Stegostoma tigrinum: one gene and its partners. The protein of the gene in region 3 interacts with the protein of the main gene of each other region in a biochemical or structural test. Links are inferred from orthologs where the notes say so. Each region holds a gene or a part of one and is shown on either strand. Other genes may lie near its edges. The genes, in order: bdnf, tyrosine-protein phosphatase non-receptor type 1-like and ntrk2a.

The links.
Region 1: the proteins of ntrk2a (region 3) and bdnf form a complex in vitro, tested with the Homo sapiens proteins (3 studies listed by BioGRID). The link is inferred for Stegostoma tigrinum from reciprocal best matches to the Homo sapiens genes NTRK2 and BDNF.
Region 2: the proteins of ntrk2a (region 3) and tyrosine-protein phosphatase non-receptor type 1-like form a complex in vitro, tested with the Homo sapiens proteins (2 studies listed by BioGRID, with this or other methods). The link is inferred for Stegostoma tigrinum from reciprocal best matches to the Homo sapiens genes NTRK2 and PTPN1.

Annotation. Positions count from the first base shown.
Region 1 is NC_081370.1:53,221,610-53,229,667, forward strand, and holds the start of bdnf (brain-derived neurotrophic factor), read right to left. Parts: upstream 3,046-8,058; 5' UTR 2,954-3,045; coding exon 2,933-2,953; intron 1,156-2,932; exon of another isoform or gene 1,010-1,155; intron 996-1,009; exon of another isoform or gene 899-995; intron 1-898. UniProt on the Homo sapiens protein: Important signaling molecule that activates signaling cascades downstream of NTRK2. During development, promotes the survival and differentiation of selected neuronal populations of the peripheral and central nervous systems.
Region 2 is NC_081372.1:40,246,953-40,254,211, forward strand, and holds the start of tyrosine-protein phosphatase non-receptor type 1-like, read left to right. Parts: upstream 1-4,157; 5' UTR 4,158-4,273; coding exon 4,274-4,330; intron 4,331-7,259. UniProt on the Homo sapiens protein: Tyrosine-protein phosphatase which acts as a regulator of endoplasmic reticulum unfolded protein response. Mediates dephosphorylation of EIF2AK3/PERK; inactivating the protein kinase activity of EIF2AK3/PERK.
Region 3 is NC_081356.1:59,861,484-59,869,320, forward strand, and holds the start of ntrk2a (neurotrophic tyrosine kinase, receptor, type 2a), read right to left. Parts: upstream 3,076-7,837; 5' UTR 2,787-3,075; coding exon 2,392-2,786; intron 1-2,391. UniProt on the Homo sapiens protein: Receptor tyrosine kinase involved in the development and the maturation of the central and the peripheral nervous systems through regulation of neuron survival, proliferation, migration, differentiation, and synapse formation and plasticity.

The DNA of each region.
Region 1 (8,058 bases), on a different chromosome or scaffold from region 3:
CAATTCCAGCAAAGATCATTTTTTAAAAGAAAATTCGATTCAAAAGAATATTAGAATCTGTGAGTAGGTGGACATCGTGACCAGGCCGGTGAGGGGTGCTCTTGAACTGTGTTTGGAACTGACCCACTAATTGGCACTGCTTCTTAGATGTCATACGCCCACATTTGGGATTAATTATTGCCCAGAAAGTTTACATTGCAGCACGGGGTGGGGGGTGGAGTTAGAGAAAAAAGTATCGCCCTTAGTAAAATGTATGAATATTTATAGGAGTTTTAAAACCCACGCGCCTGCCTGCTATTCCACAGTTTCTCTCTGTCCAGGCTTTAACGTGTAATTAGCTGCACTTGACATAATTATGTATTCGTTATGAATTTGCACTTCTCTCTGAAAGATGTTGACACCAAACCTAAAGGCTAAGTGGGCCGTTTTGAATCGAGACCTCATTAAAACGGACTCATTGCAATTCTAGCACTGTGACTTTTAACATCGCGGAAAATTCCCAGTGGAACCTGCAAATCATCAGATCGGGACTCACGCCTACATACGCTCCCGTGGATAAACTCAATAACGATAACTCTTCAACAGTGAGGTTCTTCTTATTTCTTTGACGGGCTCCTAGAGAAACAATACTGCACTACTCTTGACAAGCTCCAGGGTTTAAAAGCCCTTCCTGCTTTTCCTGGTGCGAGCCCGGCTCCTCAGTGTACACTCTGTCAACAAACCATTGGGTTTACAGACGACCTGAGCAAATCCCGTTCTATACACAATTCAGAATTCTTCTACGACCATCGTATCCAGGTCGACCCCGGACAATAACAGCCTGAATCAAAATCCACCCTCACATGCAGCAAACACTCAGAGATGCTAAGATGGAGAGAGGCGATTCCTTCGCTCTCACTTTTTTTTCAGAACTGTTCCGCTTTCAATGCCACGGGAAGGAACCTGTTTAGTTGCGGTAGCGCAGCTGGTGCCCAAAGCTGGAAGAAACCCTGTTTTGACGGGGAGTTACTTTTTTTTTGTTGGTTTCCTTTACGATCTGGTGCCAGGGGACCTGGGTGTAACAGTAGACACAGCGGGCTGAAGTGGAGCGCTGATGACAGCAACACGCTTAGGTGGGGACCTGCTCAGAGCGAATCCAAACTGCGGGCATCACCGTCACAGGGACCGAGGGAGAGAACCACAGAGCCTGTGGCAAGGCTGCTCCTCACGTTGCCATGGCAACCGGCATCCAATGAAAGCCTCGTCTCTGCTGTCTCACTGGCAACCGGCGAAGGGAAAATACTTTTCCTCGTCCTGAATGAAAAAGAAAGGACCAGTTCCCCCTGTCTGGCTTAATGTGGGAGCGTTAGCACACGGGGTAGGAGCGGGAGCACGCTCACCGGGCCGAGCGGCCTGCTCCGCTTCCCGTTTCTTAAGGTCTAAGATGGAAATCACCTTTCCCTTGCTGTGAGAGATAATGGGAACTGCAGATGCTGGAGAATTCCAAGATAATAAAATGTGAGGCTGGATGAACACAGCAGGCCAAGCAGCATCCTCCTGAGATGCTGCTTGGCCTGCTGTGTTCATCCAGCCTCACATTTCCCTTGCTGTTTTGTTTTGTGTAGGACCGGGGTGTTCGGGTGGGGGGGTGGGGAATTAGCTGGTTAAATCTAGTACATTGGATGTTTGGGTTTCTATCGGGAAAAGGGTCTACACTCTCACCGCCTGTACCCTGATAGTAAGGGCGATATCACAAAATGCCCCCGATTTCCAATAGCCCATCCCCTCTCCACACCGTCAATCCCTGTGGAATGAGTCTAGCTCCTGAGGCAAACTTCACACGCTGCATTCTGGAATACAGTCAGCCCAGAAACCAGAAATGACAAAAGAAAGACAAGGAGAGTTGGTCTCTTAACTTCAGCAGCGCGCGGTCTGTATATACAGTTATGTCTAGTGACCAGTCGCACCCAACCCGCCCACCCCAGCGAACAATCAAAATCAACATTCACACTAAAGGTCACCTCTCTTGAGGCACAGCACATCAGGAAGGGGCCGGAGACCACTTCCTAAAGACAATCGGTTACTGTTTATTAAATTATCCTTCTGCCCCCGTCGGCTACGGTGATCTGCAGCTTCACATTATTGTAACGCTGGGTATAGTTGAGCAAATCCCTTCCACACCCAAACCAAGCTCCAGTCTGAAACATGTTTAGTGTGTATGTGTGTGTGTGTGTTTGTGTGAAATAATAAGTTACGTTCAACACCGAGGGTATCGAGCGGTCCCTAACATTCTGCAACTGCATTTAGCTTTGGCTGATACCGAGTTCTCTCCAATCGGGAGCCCTGCCTTAGACCCTTACCTGCATTGATCACTGTCAGGGCAACTGCAAGGATTTTTGTTTTGATGGGGGAGGGTGTTGTGGGGATTTGGGTTTTTGCTGAAAACAGCGCCGTCTGCTGCTGCGAGTCTCTTGTGTTGTGAAGTGTAGGTGTGCGGTAGTATGCAGCTTCTGCGGGGTAGTCCTTCCCAAATAGCCAGAGCACCAGACCTCCTGGAGTTAGAGTCCCTTTCTCTATCCCTGCCTGGAGCGCCCGCTCGCTAAACAGCCCTTGCTCACTGACACGCAACTTTGAACCTAACCTTCTCCTGCACCTACAGTTCTCTCTCGCAAGCCGGGCACAGGAAGAATATTGGAACAAAAACACTTCGCCTGGCTCAGAAAATGCGATGAACTCTCAGAATGAAGCAGGCTAAGTGTGTGTGTGTGCGTGTGCGTGTGTGTGTGTGTGTGGGACTTGACAAGAGAACCTTCCAATCTCTGCAACATCACTGATCTCCCTCAACCAAAGTAAGCTCAAAATGCAAGTGGCCCCTGTCCGGGATACACAGGGAAGATCCTTACTGCTAGCCAGATTGGGCGAGAAAACAACACGGCAGATGCTGTTCACTTACCCTGCTATGTGCAAACGGCATCACATTAAACCATCCTTATCAACCCTTCCATTTCACAAAGTTACAATACAGTGACCTTGCCTGTTCGCAGGATATTTTCCTCACACTCTGCTTGTACCGTAATAAACTTCGCCCAAGCTGTTAAAAAAAATTCCAACCATCAGCTCTGCGCCTCAGCTGGTCTCGTAGTAACGCTGTCAGCTTTGAAAGATTTTTTTTATAGATCTAACCCTCTCCTTCGTGGCAATCACCGTCTGGTGACGCGATATCTTTGGATAGAGTTGATTTTTCTTATCCCCGAGGCCGAGACAGCTCAGGCTGTCCCGGGTGCTGAGAGACACACCTGAGACTCGCGTCAGGACCCCAGAAGCAGCTAATGGTTCCCTTCCTCCGACCCGCTACCCTCCTCCCCAAATACTCCATAACACTTCTATTTTCAGCACTTGCGACTTCATATTTGTATCAGATGCGACTTACCCACGCCGTGTCACGTGAATATGGCTTTGCCAGTCAGTCTGCTCCCCCCCCCCCTCCACCGCGCCCGAACCCCAGTAAGATCTGATGATCAGCTCCTTGCGGGGTAAGTCACCATACTGTACTGAACTGCACCCCCAGAAACCCAACACCCGGCGTTACCATCCAGTTCTTGCTGCCCTCTTTATATTTTCAATTACCAAAAGATGACAAGACACACCTCCCGGCGGGACTTGAGCCCTCAAACCTTCTGGTCCAGAGGTAGAGACAGTGTCACTGCACCACTGTCGATATCTGCCTCTGATCGCCCACCAAATCTCCAATCAATTGTAGATTTCCAAAGGAATGAGTTTAACTTAACTGGGGGGGGGGGGGAGTGGAGGGCGTATGCGTGTGTGTGTGCGGGCGATATCCCCCAGTGGTGTGAGAAATGCTCTCTCACCTTCCAATGGTAACGTGGCGTTATTAAAAAAAATAAGGGCGATCGCAGTTACTGACCAAAACCGCCCCCTCCCCAACCCCTCCACCCCTCCCTGACAATCCGCTTACCATCGTTAGTAACCGCCCAGGAAAGCGAAGAGGATTAAAATCCCGTCTCTCCAGTAGATGCTGGAAGGTAATGCGCCTTGTTTGAAGTCATCATGTGAACTTCTGCTTGCTCAGTCAATCGCCCACTACTTGTGAGTTATGAATGTAATAACTCTTTGCAATATCCGCCGCTGAAATCCCCGACACCTTAGTGACTGCAAGGCACACGTACGCAGAGGTGATTTAAGCTTCTACATTTACGCAACACATTCGCTCAGGGAGACGTTTTGGGGCTTACGTGATTCTAATGAATTAAGGAAATAATTGCTTTTGGAAATAGCGGGCTATCAGATCCTATATGACTGGTCTTTTCAGAACACTCAGTTCAGACACAGTGAGGACAGTATGCTGGGTTAAGTTAACGCGTCTGATTTTGTTTTTTAAAAAAACAGAACTTTTTTGCCCCTGTCTCGAAAAGTAGTTTAACTTAACTTCTTGCACACGTGGTTATCTTAACTATCGAGAACTATCGAGTTCAGCACAGGATCGAAGGGATTTGCGTAGAACAGGTAAGGGAGCACTTTTGTCTTTCGAAACCTCTGTCTCACGCACAAAATTTCTGGGGAAGTGCTAGCGTTTCCGTCTGGTTAAGTGTGGCTACCCGAAGCTGTAAGTTAGCAATGTCTGCTGCACCAAGCTATTGAAATCATCATCTCTTCCAGACGCACCGTAATGTTGATCGCTCTTTTGCAAAGAGAAAACACTTTTATTCTTTCCCCCTACCTGAAACAGTTCATCATCAACAATGCAAATTGTATTATCGATGACCACAACAGGGCCACAACCTGTTAAACTTGCCAAACCGAGTGAAAAAAATAAAGCTCAAATCCTCTGGTGTGTCTTCTTCAACCGCAATGCCTTTCAGTTGCGCGCGGACACAGAAAGTGGATATCATTCCAACTTACCGTACACACGCACAGCTTTTGTTGCGGGTTGTCAAACGCGTGGCTCCTCAGCTTATGCACCTAGCCTTGGAGGTTTACTGCAAGAGTCAAGCCCAAGAACCAAATAACAACCGAAAGTGACAGATACCCTACATCCAAGATGACGTGCATTTAAATATGAGTAATAAACCATATAGACGTGTTGGTCTGTGGATGGCTTGGATGCTTTACAAAATGGTCCATACCATCACTTCTTACACATGTCCGTGCTTCACTTACACTCAGCACTAGAAGCTGCGCAGAGTTCAGATGATAACTTTGAAACAGACAAGTTATAAACAGCCAAGCACTTTTAAACACAATTTAGCAGCATGCTCATGCATGCACTTGTTGCGTGATTGAACGCACTCTCAAGGAATAGACGACTGTGGAATGGACTACAAAATGCAGACAAACATAGAAGCAAAACAGATGTAGGTAGCACATAATGTCGATAATTAAAGTACCTGCGAAGGTGCAACTGTATATCTGATGTACGGCACCCCGGATTGGGATTCAAATGCGTTCCTTAATAGATAGAGACGCAAAGGGCAACCGCTGCAGACAGAGGGCCAGACAGAGGAGAAAGCAAATTCAGAATAAGACACAGGGAAGCGTACTGAATTATTCCAGTGCTTTCAGTGAAAGGTTAGCTGTTCGACATAGTGACTACTTTTCAGCTCGATCTGTACTTGAGCTCTAGAATAGGCTCCCAACTCAAAGGTTAACTCTCAATTTATAAAGTATAACATGGAAGTATAACAATAAATGGCGTTGAGTTTTTCTTATTATTTTCTGAGAAAGGCTGTCTGAGAAAAGGTGCTCTGGACGTTCTGGGCAGAGGGGTCGTTGATGTTGATGTTGTGTAGGTGACAGTTGTGAGGTAAAGCCTTCACATGCAAATATTTCTGGCACTGAGTTAAAGTAGTCTCCCCAACCGGGCAACGTGACTTGCAGCGTACAGGCAGCAGTGACCCATGAAGGAACTAGTTATAATGTTCTACCTGAACAGGAAAATACAAGTTGGTCAGTATCCGCGAAATTTCAACTTGCAGCCCGAGTAAACGCACAGTTGTGAGCTATTACTGAAGCTTGGTCACAGATTTTATTTTTTTTGTTTGCTTTGCCCGGAACCCACATTAGTGGGAAACTTTCCCACAGAAGCCAGATTCAACAAATGACACTCGTGCACAATGTTGCAATCTCTGGTTAAAACGTTGCTTCGGAACCTCACACTCCTGGCTTCATTCTCAACCTGCCTTGCAGCCCAGCTGACCACCAGACTCAGCCTCGATTCAAGAAAGGACCGAGACCCAGTTCTCGTCAGGCTGCTGAACGTTCCAGAAGGATTGGCTCAGGTTTATGTATTTGTAGTACACTTCTCTTTGCAGATCACATCTGAAAGGTGACAAGCAGGTCTCCAGTTAACACTTACAGGATGGTGCGTTCTGACGGCTCTTGTGGAGCAGTGGTAGCGTCCTTACCTCTAAGCCAGGAGGCCCAACTACTCCAGAGGTATGTCATAATATCTCTGAGCAGGTTGATATGGAAAACGTCTATAAAGAACGTTCCTGCTAATCTAAACATCTGTTCCACCTAACATAGACAACAGTCGATCTTGCAAATACCCAGAGGGGGCGTTGTCTGAAATGGTACCATACCGTCATGGTATTACAAGGCTCTATTGCCTTGCTAGGTCGGAGATGAGGCACTAGCTCATTACCTTTGTTGAGGCTTGACGCCGCAAAACACATTTTCACAAAGATTTCCCAGGAGGTTGAGTAGGAATGTTCTCCAGAGAGAGCTGCAGCCACAATTAGCCAGCCTACATTTGACCAGTGACTGTGTGGTTACACACGGATTTCATTGACTCTCCAGGCTCTCTCCACAAGGTGTAGAAATTCAACCTTTTCCCTCTGTGGATGAGCTGTGATCTATAGCAGATAAAGGACAACCTGTCTATCCCCCAGAACACAGATCTCCGAGAGGTCCGCCTGGAATCCTGCATTTATATCCCACCGTTTACATCCTGAGAAAGTTTTGTTGTACTGCATTGTCAATTTCTTTTGAAATGTAGTTACAGTTGCGATGACATGACTCTGCACAACAAATCACAAAAAAAGTAAAAATGGCTTCTCTCCTTGGCTGTTACAGGTCGCCAATTGGCTGGATCATTGGCTGGTATAGGTTGAAGTCAAATGTTGTCCAGGATGTCTTCATCCTTCCTTTTCAAATAGAACAAAGAGTTCTTTTATGCCCATCTGATCAGGTAGATCATGACTTGCTTTGTCATATATTCTGAGCCACATACCCTCCCTCCTCACAGCATGGTTCCCATAGTCCCACAGGCTCCAGGCTTCATCTAACTGACTTTTCCCCCTTAAGCCTTTCACAGGATGTGGGTGTCACTGATGGCCAGCATTTGTTGCTCATCCTTAATGACCTTGAACTGTGTGGCTTGCTAGACCATTTCATTGGGACGTTAAGGGTAAACTGTATTAATGTGGTTCTGAAGTCACGCCATAAGCCACACAATGGCAGATTTCCCTCCCTGAAGGACAGGAGTGTATCAAATGAGTTTTTACAAGAACCAATGACCATTACACACACACTATTAATGAGAATAGCTTTCAATTCCAGATTTATGAACTGAATTCAGCTGCTGTAATGGGTTTCAAGTCAATGTCCCCAGACCATTAACTTGTGCCTCTGGATTAGTCATATGGTGACATTACTATCCATGTATCTTTTACACGTGGATGAGTCTTGGCTATGAGCATCAGTTGCCATTTAAACGTAATATTACAATTGAGTGCAATTTTTTTTCGTCAAGTCCACCCAAACCATTTGCAGGAAGCAGAAATGTATTCACTCAATAACAAACAGGGGCACAAATCTTTGGGAGACATTTCCATCCTCAACAGATTGGTGTAACACTTACACCATAATTCTGGATGATATCAATTGAATAAGTAAGAGTTTGGACTTCTCAATGTCCTGGCCTGCAAGACTCATGCTGTCTTACCAATGAGAACCATCAAAAGAGCACACTGCCTAACTTGTGACAATCTCCTTATGGCTAAAAATTATTAAAGTTTTTTAGATGCCTGGTTGGTACCGAGACTACGTTGCCTTGCAGTG
Region 2 (7,259 bases), on a different chromosome or scaffold from region 3:
GCTGGATGAACACAGCAGGCCAAGCAGCATCTCAGGAGCACAAAAGCTGACGTTTCAGGCCTAGACCCTTCATCAGAGAGGGGGATGGGGAGAGGGTTCTGGAATAAATAGGGAGATAGGGGGAGGCGGACCAAAGATGGAAAGAAGATAGGTGGAGAGAAGAGTATAGGTGGAGAGGTAGGGAGGGGATAGGTCGGTCCAGGGAAGCCGGACAGGTACCGCCCCCACCACAACCGCCCCAAGAGGATCCCCCTCATTCTCACACAGCACCCCACCAACCTCCGGATACAACGCATCATCCTCCAACACTTCTGCCATCTACAATCCGACCCCACCACCCAAGACATTTTTCCATCCCCACCCTTGTCTGCCTTCGGGAGACACCACTCTCTCCGTGACTCCCTTGTCCGCTCCACACTCCCCTCCAACCCCACCACACCCGGCACCTTCCCCTGCGACCGCAGGAAGTGCTACACTTGCCCCCACACCTCCTCCCTCACCCCCATCCCAGGCCCCAAGATGGCTTTCCACATTAAGCAGAGGTTCACCTGCACATCTGCCAATGTGGTATACTGTATCCATTGTACTCGGTGTAGCTTCCTCTACATCGGGGAAATCAAGCGGAGGCTTTGGTGGTATCTGGGATGTTGTTTGTAAAGTATGATTCCATGAGTATGTCAGGCTATTGCTTGACTGGTGTATGAGACAGCTTGCTCATTTCTGGGATTAAGAAGGACTTTGCAGAGTTGACAGGGACATTTCTGCTATTGCCTTTTCCAGTGTCTAGGTCAATGCCAGGTGGTCCTTTCAGTTTCAATTCTTTGTTGAGACTTCATGATGACTGATACAACTGAGTATTTCAGAGGGTCAACCACATTGCTATGGCTCTAGAGTCACGTGTAAGTCAGACCAGATGAGGATGGCAGATTTCCTTCCCTGAAGGGTATTAGACATTAGTTATTCAGATAGGTGCTTCCAACAATTAACAATGGCTTTAGTGATCATCAGAAGATTAACTCCAAATACTTCAAAAACTCCAAATCTGTGGTAGGATTCGAATCTGAGCCCCCAAACTTCAGTTAATTTCTAGATTAATAATCTCGCAATATTATCACTTGATCATCATCTAAAGGCTTGGTAAAAGTATCTTTATCTGGTTGGCAAGGCATAACTAGTGGGGTGGGGGGGGCACAGGATTCAGTGCTTGGGGCCCAACTACTCTCAATCAATATCAACAATTTGGAAGCAGGGATAGAAAATACTATGACCAAACATATAGATGACACTGAAATAGGTGATAAAGTAAGTTCCAATGAGGAAGCTTCCAATGACCCTTCGTCACTGGACCCAAAACGTTAACGAAAACTTCAGTAGGTCTGGAAGCATCTGTGAAGGGTAAAATCAGAGTTAACGCTTTAGGTCCAGTGAGGAAGGGTCATTGGAAGCTTCCTCATTGGAACTTACTTTATCACCTATTTCAGTGTCATCTATACATTTGGTCATAGTATTTTCTATCCCTCCTTCCAAATTGTTGACATTGATTGTGATTAGTTGGGCCCCAAGCACTGAATCCTGTGTCCCCCCACCCCACTAGTTATGCCTTGCCAACCAGATAGATACTCTTACCAAGCCTTTGGATGGTGACCAAGTCATCATTTCTGTTTTTGCCAGTGGAGACTTTGCCTAGTTGCAATGAGGCGAGGCATTGAGCAGAAGGGTTTGAGATTCCTTAATATTTTGAATGTCTCTTTCAAGAAATGAAGTAAGGTGTCACCGTTTTGGCATTTTAAATATTAACTTCATGCACACTGATGATACTCGAGAGCAGGAAGTGCCCTTCCAACCAAATGTTGGATATCTTAGGTTACATATTCCAGAATTAAGGAATGAACATATTTTGCTTTAATTTCTGTAAAATCCTTAGAGTGTGGTCTGAAAGACAAAAAAACTTTACACTAAAAATCTGATTAACTGACCAAAAACTTACAGATCAAACATATTAATATGATTTTCTTAGCATTGAAAAATCCAAAGAATTTCAGAGGTCAGTTGCCTTTGTTTCTGGAATGGTCAGCAACTAAAATGGTGAGATCAAAGACACTTAACTGTCCATTTGTATTTTTATCATGATCTATACTTAGGAAATAATTGGATCAAAGTTTTCTTGATGACAGGACAGTTTCTATTTAAAATGCTGTTGTAGGCCAATCTGCACAGCTGGGGAAATGGATAAATTGAAGTTCATCCAGAGATTTCTTAGCCTGGATAGAGAGTTAATATCTCAACTTTAACATCTGTATTACAGAAGTCATTTTGTGGCCCACATTAACTACAAAAATGTTATTAGGTTCACTGGTAAAAATCAAGATGGTCAATGAACAAATCACCAAAGTATGGTATTACTTTGATTGCACTTTTATTCATAAGTCTTGCAGACTATAAATTACAAAATTCAGATTATGTGCTAAATGGCTGCATCATCAGTAATTACTGTATTTTATTTCCATACATTTAAAGTTGAATACAATCATTTGTTAATGCGATACTTTTCAATCTTTGTAGCAAGAAACCGTGGAGGTTCTCTCTGTAACCTCTAATGCAATGATCATGGTTAAGAGATAATTAGTTGTTCAATTAGAATAGTACACTTCTCACAAACCACATCATGTTGAGTTTTCAGTTTCATGGGATGGGCAATTTGTCCCTCTGCCATAGAATGGGGTTGGGTGAAATATTGAATTGTGACTGATTAAGAAAAGATTAGAGATGTTGAATAATATACTAAAATGAGCTGGAAATTAGAACAATATAGTAAGATATATCCAGAAACTTTCAGGGCGTCAACTTTGAGTTGCAAGTTTTTTTTTTAAATTGGTTTTTCAATCTCTTACAATCAATGATAACAATCTCATGATGAATATATTTATGAAGCTTTCATGATTTGTCTAGTTTCCTAAGAAGAACCACCGTTTAGACGAGAGGACCATTTGAATTCAATGGTCTTGTCACAATTTTGTGGCCTTTTCTCTCAATTTGTACCTCTCCAGAGATAAGAGCAACTTAAAAAAAATCAGAAATTGAAACTGAAATAGGTCAAGCACCAACTGTACAGAGAAACATAAGTGATGTTTCAGGTCTAACATTTATGATCACCTTTCCTCGACAAAGAGAAAAATCTGAAACGAAAAAGAAATAAAGTGAGGATACAGAGTTTATGGCCAGAAATTTTTAACTTCATACTGAATGCAGAAGATAGTGCCCAAGCAACCAATAAGCATGTTGTTTCTTAGGCTTACGTTAAGAAATAACTGATTTGGCCTTTCACTGAAACGCTGCAGCAGGTAAGTGATCTTGGGTAACTTTCTGAAAGAAACACAACGCGGGGATCAGTCAAAATTGTTGATTTATTCATGTCTTCAACAGGACTTTCCAAACAGTCCCGCTACCTGGCAAATTGTTTCATAATTCTTTTAAAACTAAATGTTTTTAACCCTGAAAGACTTTCAAATCCTTCCTGTCAGCCTGGAGGACACTTACGTCATGGATAAAGTAGAGATTAATGAACTTGATCATATCATTAGCAACGTTCAATGATACAAGAACATCACTTTGCCATTATTGTGGTTACTGTTTCTTAGCTCAGGCAATTCTGTTAGATCCACCTACCGGCATACAGACTTTACTTTGCCATGAGCTCAGGTTTGGTTTGGATTTAGACACAGTTATGCTCTAACGAAGCCCCGAACACATTATCGGCTGGACTTTCTTTCCAGAATCTTCAAGCTGGCCCGCCACCAGGGCCCGTGGGATACAATCGGAGATTGAAGAACTACATCTCCCAGTAGGCATCGCGAAGCCCTCCGTGGATGCGGTATAAACATCGAGGAGCAAAGCATCCCGGATGTATGGAGCTGCACCCAATGTAAACAATTCCCCGTTTTTATGAAGCAATATCTGACTTTTCGGACTGAGCAATGTATTTCGGGCCGCTAGTCCGCACAGTCCTCTGGGATTTGGTAGGAAACGTCATTTCCTGGACAGTTTACTACAATTCCCATTAGGCAACACGCAAAGCCGTCCTGCGTTCCGTATTCTGATTGGTAGGGGCTGGTGCCAGTCATGGGTTGATGGTGTGTGTTTCCGGTGTGTGGTCGAAGCCCTCCTGCTGCGAGGGAGTTGAGATGAAGTGGTAGGAGCGGAGCGCGAAGGGGAATTTACAGCGTTAGCGTGAGGCCCAGAGTGGAGAGGAGACAGGCACAGCGCGCTTGCAGTCATGGAGCAGGAGTTCGCGGAGATCGATAAACAGGGCAACTGGGCGATGCTTTACCAGGTGAGGGTAGTACGAGTGTCCGGGATCGGGAGGGCGAGTGAGCGAGGCTCGGGAGCTTCCACCCCGCAGCCCGGGGGTTCGAGTTACATGCTGCCGGGAAGGAAGTGTAGACCGGTGGGTGCAATACCTGGGTCTGTATATTGGCAGCTTATGTGTCTGTCTTGATTCTGTGTGTTAATCATGTCCCGTCGGTGTGGGAACCGCTCGTGGATTGTGGCGGGGTTTGTCTAATTAGTTAGTTCAGTCAGCAACCACTCCAACAAATTATTGTGCAAACACTATAACCAGAAACTGTCAGTCTACTGTCTTGGTAATAAAGTGACTCACACCGACTTTTGAGAGCAGCATGGGCAAATGGTCTTTGTAGTTGCCGAGGGTGGTTTTTTCCTATCTGGAGGGTGAATTTGCTTTTTTAAAGCATCCGGTAACATTCATGAAATACATTGTTCCCTGATTTCGTTTGCCAACTTCAGTTATTAAATCATATCCTGGTTTCATTTTACAACAGTAACTAATTAGCGGTAATTATTGGTGGTTATAATAAGGTTAATTTTTGAATTAATTTTGACCAAGCCTAATAATGATCGTTCCCCATATCTCCCACGCTGTCTTGACGCTCTTTTGCCTGAGCATGAGGATGTCTCTTCGTGAAAATACTGTTGCAACTATGAAACGATGATCTGCAAATTCTGAGTCTCTTTCTGTAGGATGTAAAAATGAACTTGGTTGCATTTATTTAGCATGATAGGTTTTTTCACTTTCCTAAACTTGGGTGGACAAGTAAGTAACTTACAAATGTTTTGTCCTAGTGAAGTATGCAAGGCCTCAGATCGCTTATGTGCATTCCTTTGTACTAACCAGACCTAAAAAATCTACAAAATTATGAAATAAAAACTGAAAGAACTGTGGATGCTGGAAATCAAAAACAAAACAGAAATTGCAGGAAAAGCTCAACAGGCTTGGCAGCATCTAGAGAGAAATGAGCACTAACGTTTTGGGTCCATTGACCCTTCCTCAGAACTGATAGCTAGGAAAAAGTTGGTTTTCATGTAGAACGTATGGTGGGAGAGGGGCTAAGAGTAAATAGTAGGTGGGGAGAGAGCCCAAGGAGAGAGAAGAACAATTGGACAGGCAAAGGAGTGAATAATGAATATCCTAAGAGATATAGATATTAATCGGGACTATTTGTAATAGTAGACCATGTGATAACAAGGCCTGATGTGTGAGGGTTGGGGTAAGGACATGGGAGAAGGTGCCTCACGCTCTAAAATTGATCTTGATATTGAGCCCAGAAAGCTGTAGAGTTCCCAAGTGGAGAATGAGGTAACGTACTTCCAGCTTATGTTGAGCTTTGCTTCAACAAGCCTGAGACCAAGATGTTGGCCAGGTAACAAGGTGGTACAGGTGGTATATTGAAATGGCAGCCAACCAGAAGCTCAAGGTCTTTTTTTTGTGGACAGCTCGTAAGTGTTCTCTGAAGCAATCACCCAGTCAACCCTTTGTTTCCCCAAATTAGAGAAGACCACATTGTGAGCGGTGAATGTAGTAGACTAGATTAAGTGAAATGTGGATAAAGCACTGCTTCACCTGGAAGGTATATTTGGGTCCTTGGATACTGAGGAGGGAGGAAATAAATGGGCAGATGTTACACCTTCTCAGGTTGCTGGGGCAGGTGCCATGGGGCTGTGGGGAAGTGTTTGGCATGAAGGGGGAGTGGACGAGTGTGTCCCAGAAGGAATGGTCTTTGCAGGAGGCTGAAATGGAGGGGATTGGAATATGTCTGCTGTTGGCATCCCACTGGAGGTGGCACAAATGGATATAGATGTTGTTGGGATAGTAGGTGGGTGAATGGGGTGACCCTAATCACAGTTGTGGTAGGAAAGAGAAGGGTGAGGGCTGACGTTTGGGAGATAGGTCAAACCTGGCAGAGGGCCCTGTCAGCTACCGTGCTGGGGAATCCTCGGTTGAGGAAGAACATGGCTATCCCCTTGTTGAATTTGACATGTTCAGAACAGATGTGATGGAGGAACTGGGAGAATGGAATAGTCTTTATAGGATGCAGGGTGTATAGTCAAAGTAACTGTGTGGGTTGGTCGGTTTATCATAGATGTTGACAGCCAATTCCCCAAAAGTAGAAATAGTCTGAGATGTGGTAATAGGAACTGCCAGTGCTGCAGAATCTGAGATAACAAGGTGTAGAGCTGGATGAACACAGCAGGCTAAGCAGCATCACAGGACAAGGTGTAGAGCTGGTGTCCTGCTCCTCTGCTGCTTGGCCTGCTACGTTCATCCGCCACTACGCTTTGTTATCTCATAGTCTGAGATGGTCCGGGAGAAGGTGAGGGCTGGGTGGAAATTGGAAGCAAAATTGATAAACTATTCCAATTCTGGATGAAAGAGGGGAGCAGCACCAATGGTATCATCAATATTCTAGAGAAAGAATTGTGGTTGGGGGCTGGGATTTGACTGGAACCAGGAATGTTCCACATACCTTACAAAGAAACAGGCATACCCAGGGCCCATGAGGGTACCTATGGCAACTCTTCTGACCTGAAAAAAGTAAGAGGAGTTTGAGAAGTTGTGCAGAGTGAAGATGGTGGAGGAGGGTGGTGGTGAATGGGGACAGTTCATCCCTTTTTTCCAGAAAGAAGTGGAGAATCTGGTGACCACCCTGATGGGGAATGGACATATAAAGGATTGCATCTCCATGGTAGAGAGGAGCCCACAAACTAGAAATTTTGAAACTAATGTAAAATATCAGAGAAATTGTAGATTTAAGTGAGAAGGGAATGAACAAGGGGAGAAAAAAATTGAATCGAGTTAGGAAGAGCTGAGTTCTGCAGGGCAGAAGCAGGCAGAAGCAGTGGTCTGCCTGGGCAGTCCTGTTTGTAGATTTTAAGCAATATAATGAAGTTTGGGATTGGTTGGA
Region 3 (7,837 bases):
AGAGGGCTATCTGTACTCTCAGCTAATTCCGAAGAATCGATTTTGACCCAGCGGTAAAAGTGACAGTCGGGGCCAAGGGATTTGCTTCGGAGTTCTGAAACCCAGTGACCACAATCGGCTGAACGCGAATCTTGTTGGGCCCGACACCGTCTTGAGAGATGGGTTTTAAAGGATTTCTCATCACTAAAATATATTAAAATGACAGATTAAAATCACCAAGGCACCTGCGATCATTCCTGCTTATTCACTGAATAGAAATGTTCACCAGATATGTTTTAAATCATTTATTTTGTACAACAAGAAGACATCGAAAGGAACCTGTTTGCATACAGTATCCGGGGCGGCAACGCTGCAATATTCATGAACAGTCCTGGCTGTAAGCCGCAGCTGACCCTGAGTTAGATCTGTGCTACTTGGGCTCAAACTGAAACTTGTCGGGATGGTGGGGGAGAGTGTAGAGGAGCGGAGTTGAGGAGGAACGTTGTGGATGGAGAGAGGCTGGAGGGACAGAATGCGTTGGAAACAGTAGAAATGGGGGTGGTGGTGGGAGAACATGGAGGGAGAGAAGATGGAGAAAATATAAGTCAAAGTGTGGAGAGACAGCAAGGAGGGCGTGAGTGCCGAGGACTAGGTGAACTTAGTGAAACAGTATGCAAATAAATTAAGTGTAGAAGTAAAGGACGTTGAATCAGAGAATGGAATAGCAGGAAGTGGAGGAAGATAGAGTAAATGGATAGAATGTGAAGGGCGGAAGAGTGCGAAAAGAGAAAATGGATGTAAAATGTGCGAAGGAAGAGAGAAGGGAAGGACTGTGGATTGCTGGAGTGTCGATGGACCAAGTGAAGAAGTATAGAATGGGACAGAGTGCGGTGATAGAGACTATGACCCGGATAAAGTGTGGAGATCAGAGTGGAGAGGGGGAAAGTGTCGAGAGAGAGTAACGAAAAAGGCTGGAGAGAAAGAGGCCGGAGGGAAAGAAGATCGAGAGATTGGAGTTGGATTTTGGAGGGGGTGGAGGGAAGAGGGAGGCTGATGAAGGGACAGATTATGGAGGGAGGGGTGTATGGAGGGAGGGTGAGGAGATGGTGGTAGGCGTAGAGGGGGTGTAGAGTGGAGAGAATGGGAATGGAGGGAGAAGGTCTGGAGGGAGAGAGGGTTAGGAGAGGATATGTAGGGAGGAGAGGCAGAGAGGTTGCGTTGTGGAGGGAGGGGAATTGAAGGAGATGGTGTTGGGGAAACTTTGATCGAGCGGAGGTCTGTCAGCTCCGTGAGAAGAGAACGCGCGGATTCGATTCCGGGATGAAAGCGGCGCCAGTTAAAGCCATCGTTCTCTCAGGAGGGTAAGAGGATATCATTCCTTTTCGCAGATTCCGAGGTCAGTTTGAAAAGTTTTCAATTTCAATCAGAATGTAAACAAACAACAACGTCTCCTCCTTCCACCGGAAACTTGCTGAATACTTGGAAAGCAAAATAAACCAAACTGTTATCGCTGGAAGGGAAATGATGACTGCTTCGGAGATCTCCCTGTAGTTGATACCATTTGAATCATGAAATAATTCAGAAAGAGGCAAACAGAAACGGAAGGCAGAATCAACACGATTGGAAGCTGTTTTTTTGTTTCAGTGCAACAAGTACTTTGGTCCCCTAACAGTAAGAAAGATCCTCAGGATAGGGAGATGGCGGGGCTAGAAAGAGTATGTGGAGAGTAACAAAACTTATTCTATGTAGCCTCAGTAACCATAAAACCTAAAATGTGTTTTGAAAGCTGGCTGGTGTGGGCGGACGGTAATCTCCAACCTTCAAACATTCATTTCCAAATAAGCAGCATTGCTATCGAGACGCATCGTGATTCTTTACGTTCTAATATGAAATGGTCTTCTTTTAGACACCAGCGAAGAAATATACTATTACGTTAACTAAATTAACTTAAGTCGAGTCTAACGTGAGCTCGGTGTGAAAATGATTGAAAGCCTGTCCACAACCAATCTCTCTTTTGAGCTGGAATATTTGCAGGTTCAATTGAGTTTGTGGGGGGGAGCCTTTACTGCTCGAGGCGACAAACACTTGGTTTTAAAATAAATCGGAACCGTGTTTTCGCTAAGGAGAAGTTGGATTCGGTTTGTGAATGAAATTCCTAAAGGGATTCTCGCTATTGGTATCTGTTTTTTTTCGATTTAAAAACAGGACTTGGAGAGAGTGCAATTAGGAGCTATCTCGGATGGGTCGTTATATTGCTATAACGGTTCATCTTCAGCTCGGTAATAAACACAGTGAGAGATGGATTACACTGATGGTGTTAGTCGGCTAATTTCAAAACAGCTCTACTGACAACAAGTAACTGAGATTTCGCATATTCATTGCTACTGGCCGGCCTGCCCAGTCGGTACTCACATTTCTGTGATGTTCTCCATCTCTGCTGCGGACGGCAGCACCGGGAAAGCCACGATGCCGGGGTCAGTGCAGGTGATCCTGGAACTGCTACATCTGCAAAAAGCAGGACAGGCGAGAACCAAGCTGCTAAAGGCCAGCACCGTGCCGAGCAGCGCTAACAGCAGACTGGCCACAGTCTTCCTGAGGCTAGCGCAGCAACACCTCGGAGATGAGGAGGCCATCGTCAGCTCGTCTCTGCTCCACACTCCAGATCGGGAGCGACTCCCCCGTAGAATAAAAAAAACAGGCGCAGATCCCGCCAGCAGAGTGTGGTTTTGTATTTGGTGTAAACCTGGAATAATCCGTAGATTGCCAATAGAGAGCAGTGCGGTCTCACTGACAGCAATCTGCAGCATATACAGATAAACAAGGTCTTTAGAACGATGTCTCCCGCTTGTAAATCCCTGTGAAGGAGCTTTCTCTATCTGTCAGTTCTTGGAGGGGGCGATCTGAAGTGTTGTTAGCTGTACAGAGGGAGCCGCTGCGCTGTGGAACCGCATCCACTATGTGAGGTTCCGGGAGAGCTGGAGTGAGTGTGTGCTCCCTTGGCTGTGGGGCATTCTTCTTGCCGCAGTGGTCACTCTCTCTCTCTCTCTCTCTCTTTCTATCAGTCAGTCCCTGCCACCAACGTCCCCCCACCCCCCACCCCCCAAACTGCCTGATGCTGCCGGGGGCTCTGTCCGGGATTTTTTAATCCTCTCCGCCCCCACTCTCCCTCCCCCTTCCCAAACCACCACCACCTCAGTAAACTATTCGATTTTTTTACATCCAATTCGGGAAGCTGCTGTACATGACGTGCGGCTGACGCACGAAAAGGGATGAAGGAGAGGTTTTTTGAACCCCCCCCCCCACAAAAAAAGAAAACTATAAAAGAGGGAAGAAAGTAAAGAAGCCGAGAAGCAGTGAAATGTGATGGTCGTTGGCCACGAGGTTGGAAATGTACTGCCCACCAGGGCAACTGCAACCAGCGACTCGGATCTCCTGCTCCAAACCAGGTCGCTACTCCCAGCGCAGTACCCTGAGCCACAAAAATCAACAGACTGAATAATCTGTTCTCCCGACTCTTCTCACAAACACCATCTAATAAACAATCTAGCTGCAGTGTTTGTGGGGAATGTGTAATCCGGAAAATTGACTCCCCCCCCCCCCCCCCCCACCGTTAGAATTCGCCTGGAACAAGCAGTTCACGTCAAATCTCCCAGTGCTGCTGTTTGTTGGACTGTCGCTGATCTAATCTTAAGGACAATCACGTCCCAGACGGTGCAAGTCCGGTGAAGAAATTTGATTTCAAAGGTTTTGAAGGATTTGAATTGCACTGCCCTTCAAAGATGCATATCTGTGTATGTGCATTTTATATGTATATGCGTGAGTGTAGATTTGTAGCCGTGCACACTTGTATGGGGATGTTTATCCATATTTGTTTGCATGGAGATATTACTGTGAGCTGATGTGCGTGTTTATATCTGGGTGTATATATCTATATATGTATCTGCGGGGGGGGGGGGGGGGCGGGTGTATATCTGAATGTGGGTCTGTGTCCAAGCGTGTGGATGTAAATACGTACGTAAGTATATCTGTGTGGGGATATGTATATCTGAAAGAGTGTGTATATATTGTGTGTATGCGTGGTTGTATCTATGGCTGTAGATCTGTGGATGTGTGTTTGTATTTGTGTGTACACCAATGTATGGGTGTGTGTATCTAAGTGTTTATATGTGCATGTGTACATTTCCGTGCATGTGTTAATTTTGGTACCGCAGCAATTGAGGCTGACACGGACATCACAATGTTCGACGTAGATAACAGCCAGTCGAATTGCTAAAACTGCTAATATTACCCGCAGATATTGAATTACAGCCTTGGTCAGGAATGATACCATGAATTCACATACAGACGTGATCGAATTCCTACATTTAGCTCATTGACTTTTAAATGGTGCCTAATAAAAGAACATGTCTGAAAGGCGTTTGGGTTATTGCAAACAGTTATTCTTTTCCTCCAAGTCCGTTGAGATAATACAAAAATTACAAGCTCACGTCCTTGTATAAGTCAACAGCTCTTTAACACTGATCTTCTCATACAGGAAACACAGTTGTCCGCGCATAAAACTCAACAATGTTCATAACTGAATGGTTAATAATTTTGTCAAAAGTGTTGCCCATCTCTGCCCTCCCGTTCTCTCTAGTTGTCTCTGTCAATCTCACTACGCACCCACGTCCGTCTCTCACACACGCGCAACTCCCAGTGAATTTTCCCGCAGTGATTTCGCACTTTGCAGCAATCCAACAAACAAGCTCTTTACGAGCTCCGCCGTCTGACGAGCTGGTCTGACACCTCCCGGACAATAGAGCAACTGCAGCTTCCAAAAATAACCCCCACTGCAGCCCCGACCGTCTGCGGTAAGGCACATCTTGCTCGCTGTGCCTTCTTCCCGGGGACAATTTCTTTAAGCGACAATCCAAGCTGCAAACCACATTTAAGCAGGTGCCTACGAAATATTGTTTAAAAAAAGACGGAAGCAAGTGAATTGCTCAATTTCTAAATCACAAACGAATGATCATTAAACATAAATTAACACATAAAAATGATTCCAAGAGTTCTAGACGACATCCACATTTCAATATGTATTTGGAAGGTGCAAGCAACAATTTAAATTCTAACAGGAAACGATCTTAAGATGTTTGGATCTAGGTATCACCTGCGATTCAAGCCTACATCGGAAAAGAGGCAAAAATGAAACAAGCCGTCAGATCTACAAGGTTGGTCAGGTCACAGGTTTTGACCTGTTAACATCAGGCAAAGGAATCTTACAATGTCAAAAACTTCCAAGAAGTCACCAAGTGAATAAATAATCCAATTGTTTAACGACAATTTTGATTAGGAGAATGGGTAAGGCTGACATTTTTGGGGCTGCAGATGTATGGCTGAGATATTAGGAACAAACACACAACACTTTAAGGGAAATGGATAAATTCGTAGGAAATTGTTCAACTCTGACCTACGTCAGGTATTCTATGACGGAGACCTCATCCATCCCTTTGTTATTTCTATACTGAACAATTCAAATGTTCTCCTTGTTAAGTTGCATCATAACATTTTACTTTAAATAGAGTGAGGTGACTGGCCTCGAGTCTAATCCAGCCAGAATGGGAATTGTACCTCGCGTTGGTGAATTCATTGTTGGTGTTGTCAAGGGAGGCAGAAGACGGGAAATTATAGGCCAGTTAGCCTAACCTCGATCATTGGTAAGATTTTAGTCCATTAATGAGGATGAGATTGCAGAATACTTGGAAGTGTGCAGGGTAAAATAGGGCTCAGTCAGCATGGCTCCATCAAGGGGAGATCATGCCGGACAAGTCTATTGGAATCCTTTTAGGAGATAACAGAAAAGTTAGGCAAAGGAGAATGAGTGGATGTCATCGATTTGAATTTCCAGAAAGCTTTTGACAAGCAGTCACAAAGGAAACTGCGAAATAAGAACCGTGTTAGGGCATGGTATTGACATGGATAAAGGATTGGCTGACTGGCAGATGGGAGAGAGCAGGTATACACGGATCTTTTTCAACATGACAGCATGCGAGTAGTGGAGTTCCAAAGGGTCATGTTGGGACCACCACTATTCACATAATACATTAATGATCTGGTCAAAGGAACTGATGGCATCATTGCTAAGGTTGAAGATGATGCAGAAATAGGCAGATGGGCAGATAGTGTTGAGGATGCAGGGAGTCTTCCAAAAGACTTAGACAGACTAGGCCAATGAGCAAAGAAGTGGCGTGTGGTATATATTGTGGGTAATTTTTTTGTGGTACATTATGCACTTTCCTAGGAACTTCATAGAAAAAGTACTTAACAGATGCCTTACAGTGCAGAATGAGGTCATTTGGCTATTGAGTCTGCAATGACCCTCTGAAGAGCATCCCACCCAGACCCAACCCCTTACCTTATCACCAAAACCTTACATTGACTGCGGCTAATCCACTTAGCCTGCACATTTTTGGACTGTGGGAGAAAACTGGAGCACCTGACTGAAGTCCATGCAGAGATGAGGAAAACATGCAAACTGCACACAAACTGTTACCCAAGGCTGGAATTAAAGTTAGAAGGGTTTTGCTGACTAGACCAGCATTTGTAACCACTTCCTAAATTCCCAGAAGGCAGATGAGAGCCAATCACATTCTGCGGGCTGGAGTACCATGTAGTTCAGACAAGGTAAGAGTGACAGCTTCCCTCCCTAAAGGACATTAGTGAATCAGATGGGCCTTTTTGACAATTAATGATGTATTCGTTATCATCATTAGAATCTTAATTCTAGATTTTTATTCAATTAAAATGTCACTATATGCATAGCAGGATTCAATCCTAGGTCCCCAAAACATTACCCAGGGCTCTCTGGATTAACAATCCAGAGATAATGCTACTACTTCAAAATGCCCCCAGCACTATTAGGCAGCAGCGAGCCACCGTGCTGTCCCTGAGGCAGAAAGAATAAAGGCATGGATCATTTTCTAGATGGGAAAAGTCTTCAGAAATCTAAAACACAAAGGAACTTAGCAGTTCTAGTTCAGGATTCTCTTAAGGTTAACATGCCAGTTCAGTTGGTAGTTAGGAAGGTGAGTGTAAGAATACAAGAGCAGAGATGTAATGCTGAGGCTGCATAAGATTCTAGTCAGACTGCATTTGGAATATTTTGAGCAGTTTTAGGCCCCGTATCTAAGGAGGGGATCCAGAAGAGGTATGCAAGAATGATCGTGAGGATTAAGGTCTTGTCATATGTGGAGCAGTTGAGGTCTGTGCTTGATGGAATGTAGAAGAATGAGGGGGGGAATCATTCAAAGTTGCAGAATACTGCAGAATGCCTAAATAAAGTGGGCTAGAGAAGATTTTCCAATAGTAGGAGAGTCTAGGACCCAAGGGCACAATGTCAGAGTGAAGGGACAACCATTTAGAACTGAGATGAGGAGGAATTCCTTCAGCCAGTGGGCAATGAATCCATTGAACCCATTGCCACAGAAGATTGTGGAGGCCAAGTCACTGTGTGTATGTAAAAAAAGAGATAGATAGGTTCTTGGTTAGTAAGGGCCTAAAGTCAAGGGTCACAGGGAGAAGGAGGAAGAATGGGGTTGAGAAACATACCAGCCATGACTGAATAGTGAAGCAGAGTTGATGGGCCAATTGGCTAATTCAGCTCTTACATCTTATGGTCTTAAGGTCTAAGTTCTTTAATAATACAATATCATTCAGACAAAGTTGTTCAGATAATCCATTGTCTTACCCTCATAATAAATGTTCATTTTAGTAAAATCAGTATGACTGGGACTGTTGCTATATGTTAGATGTTTAAGCTAATCAATACCTCTCATATCCGTGCTTAATTTTAACAAATCGAGGAAGTAAGACTATTCAT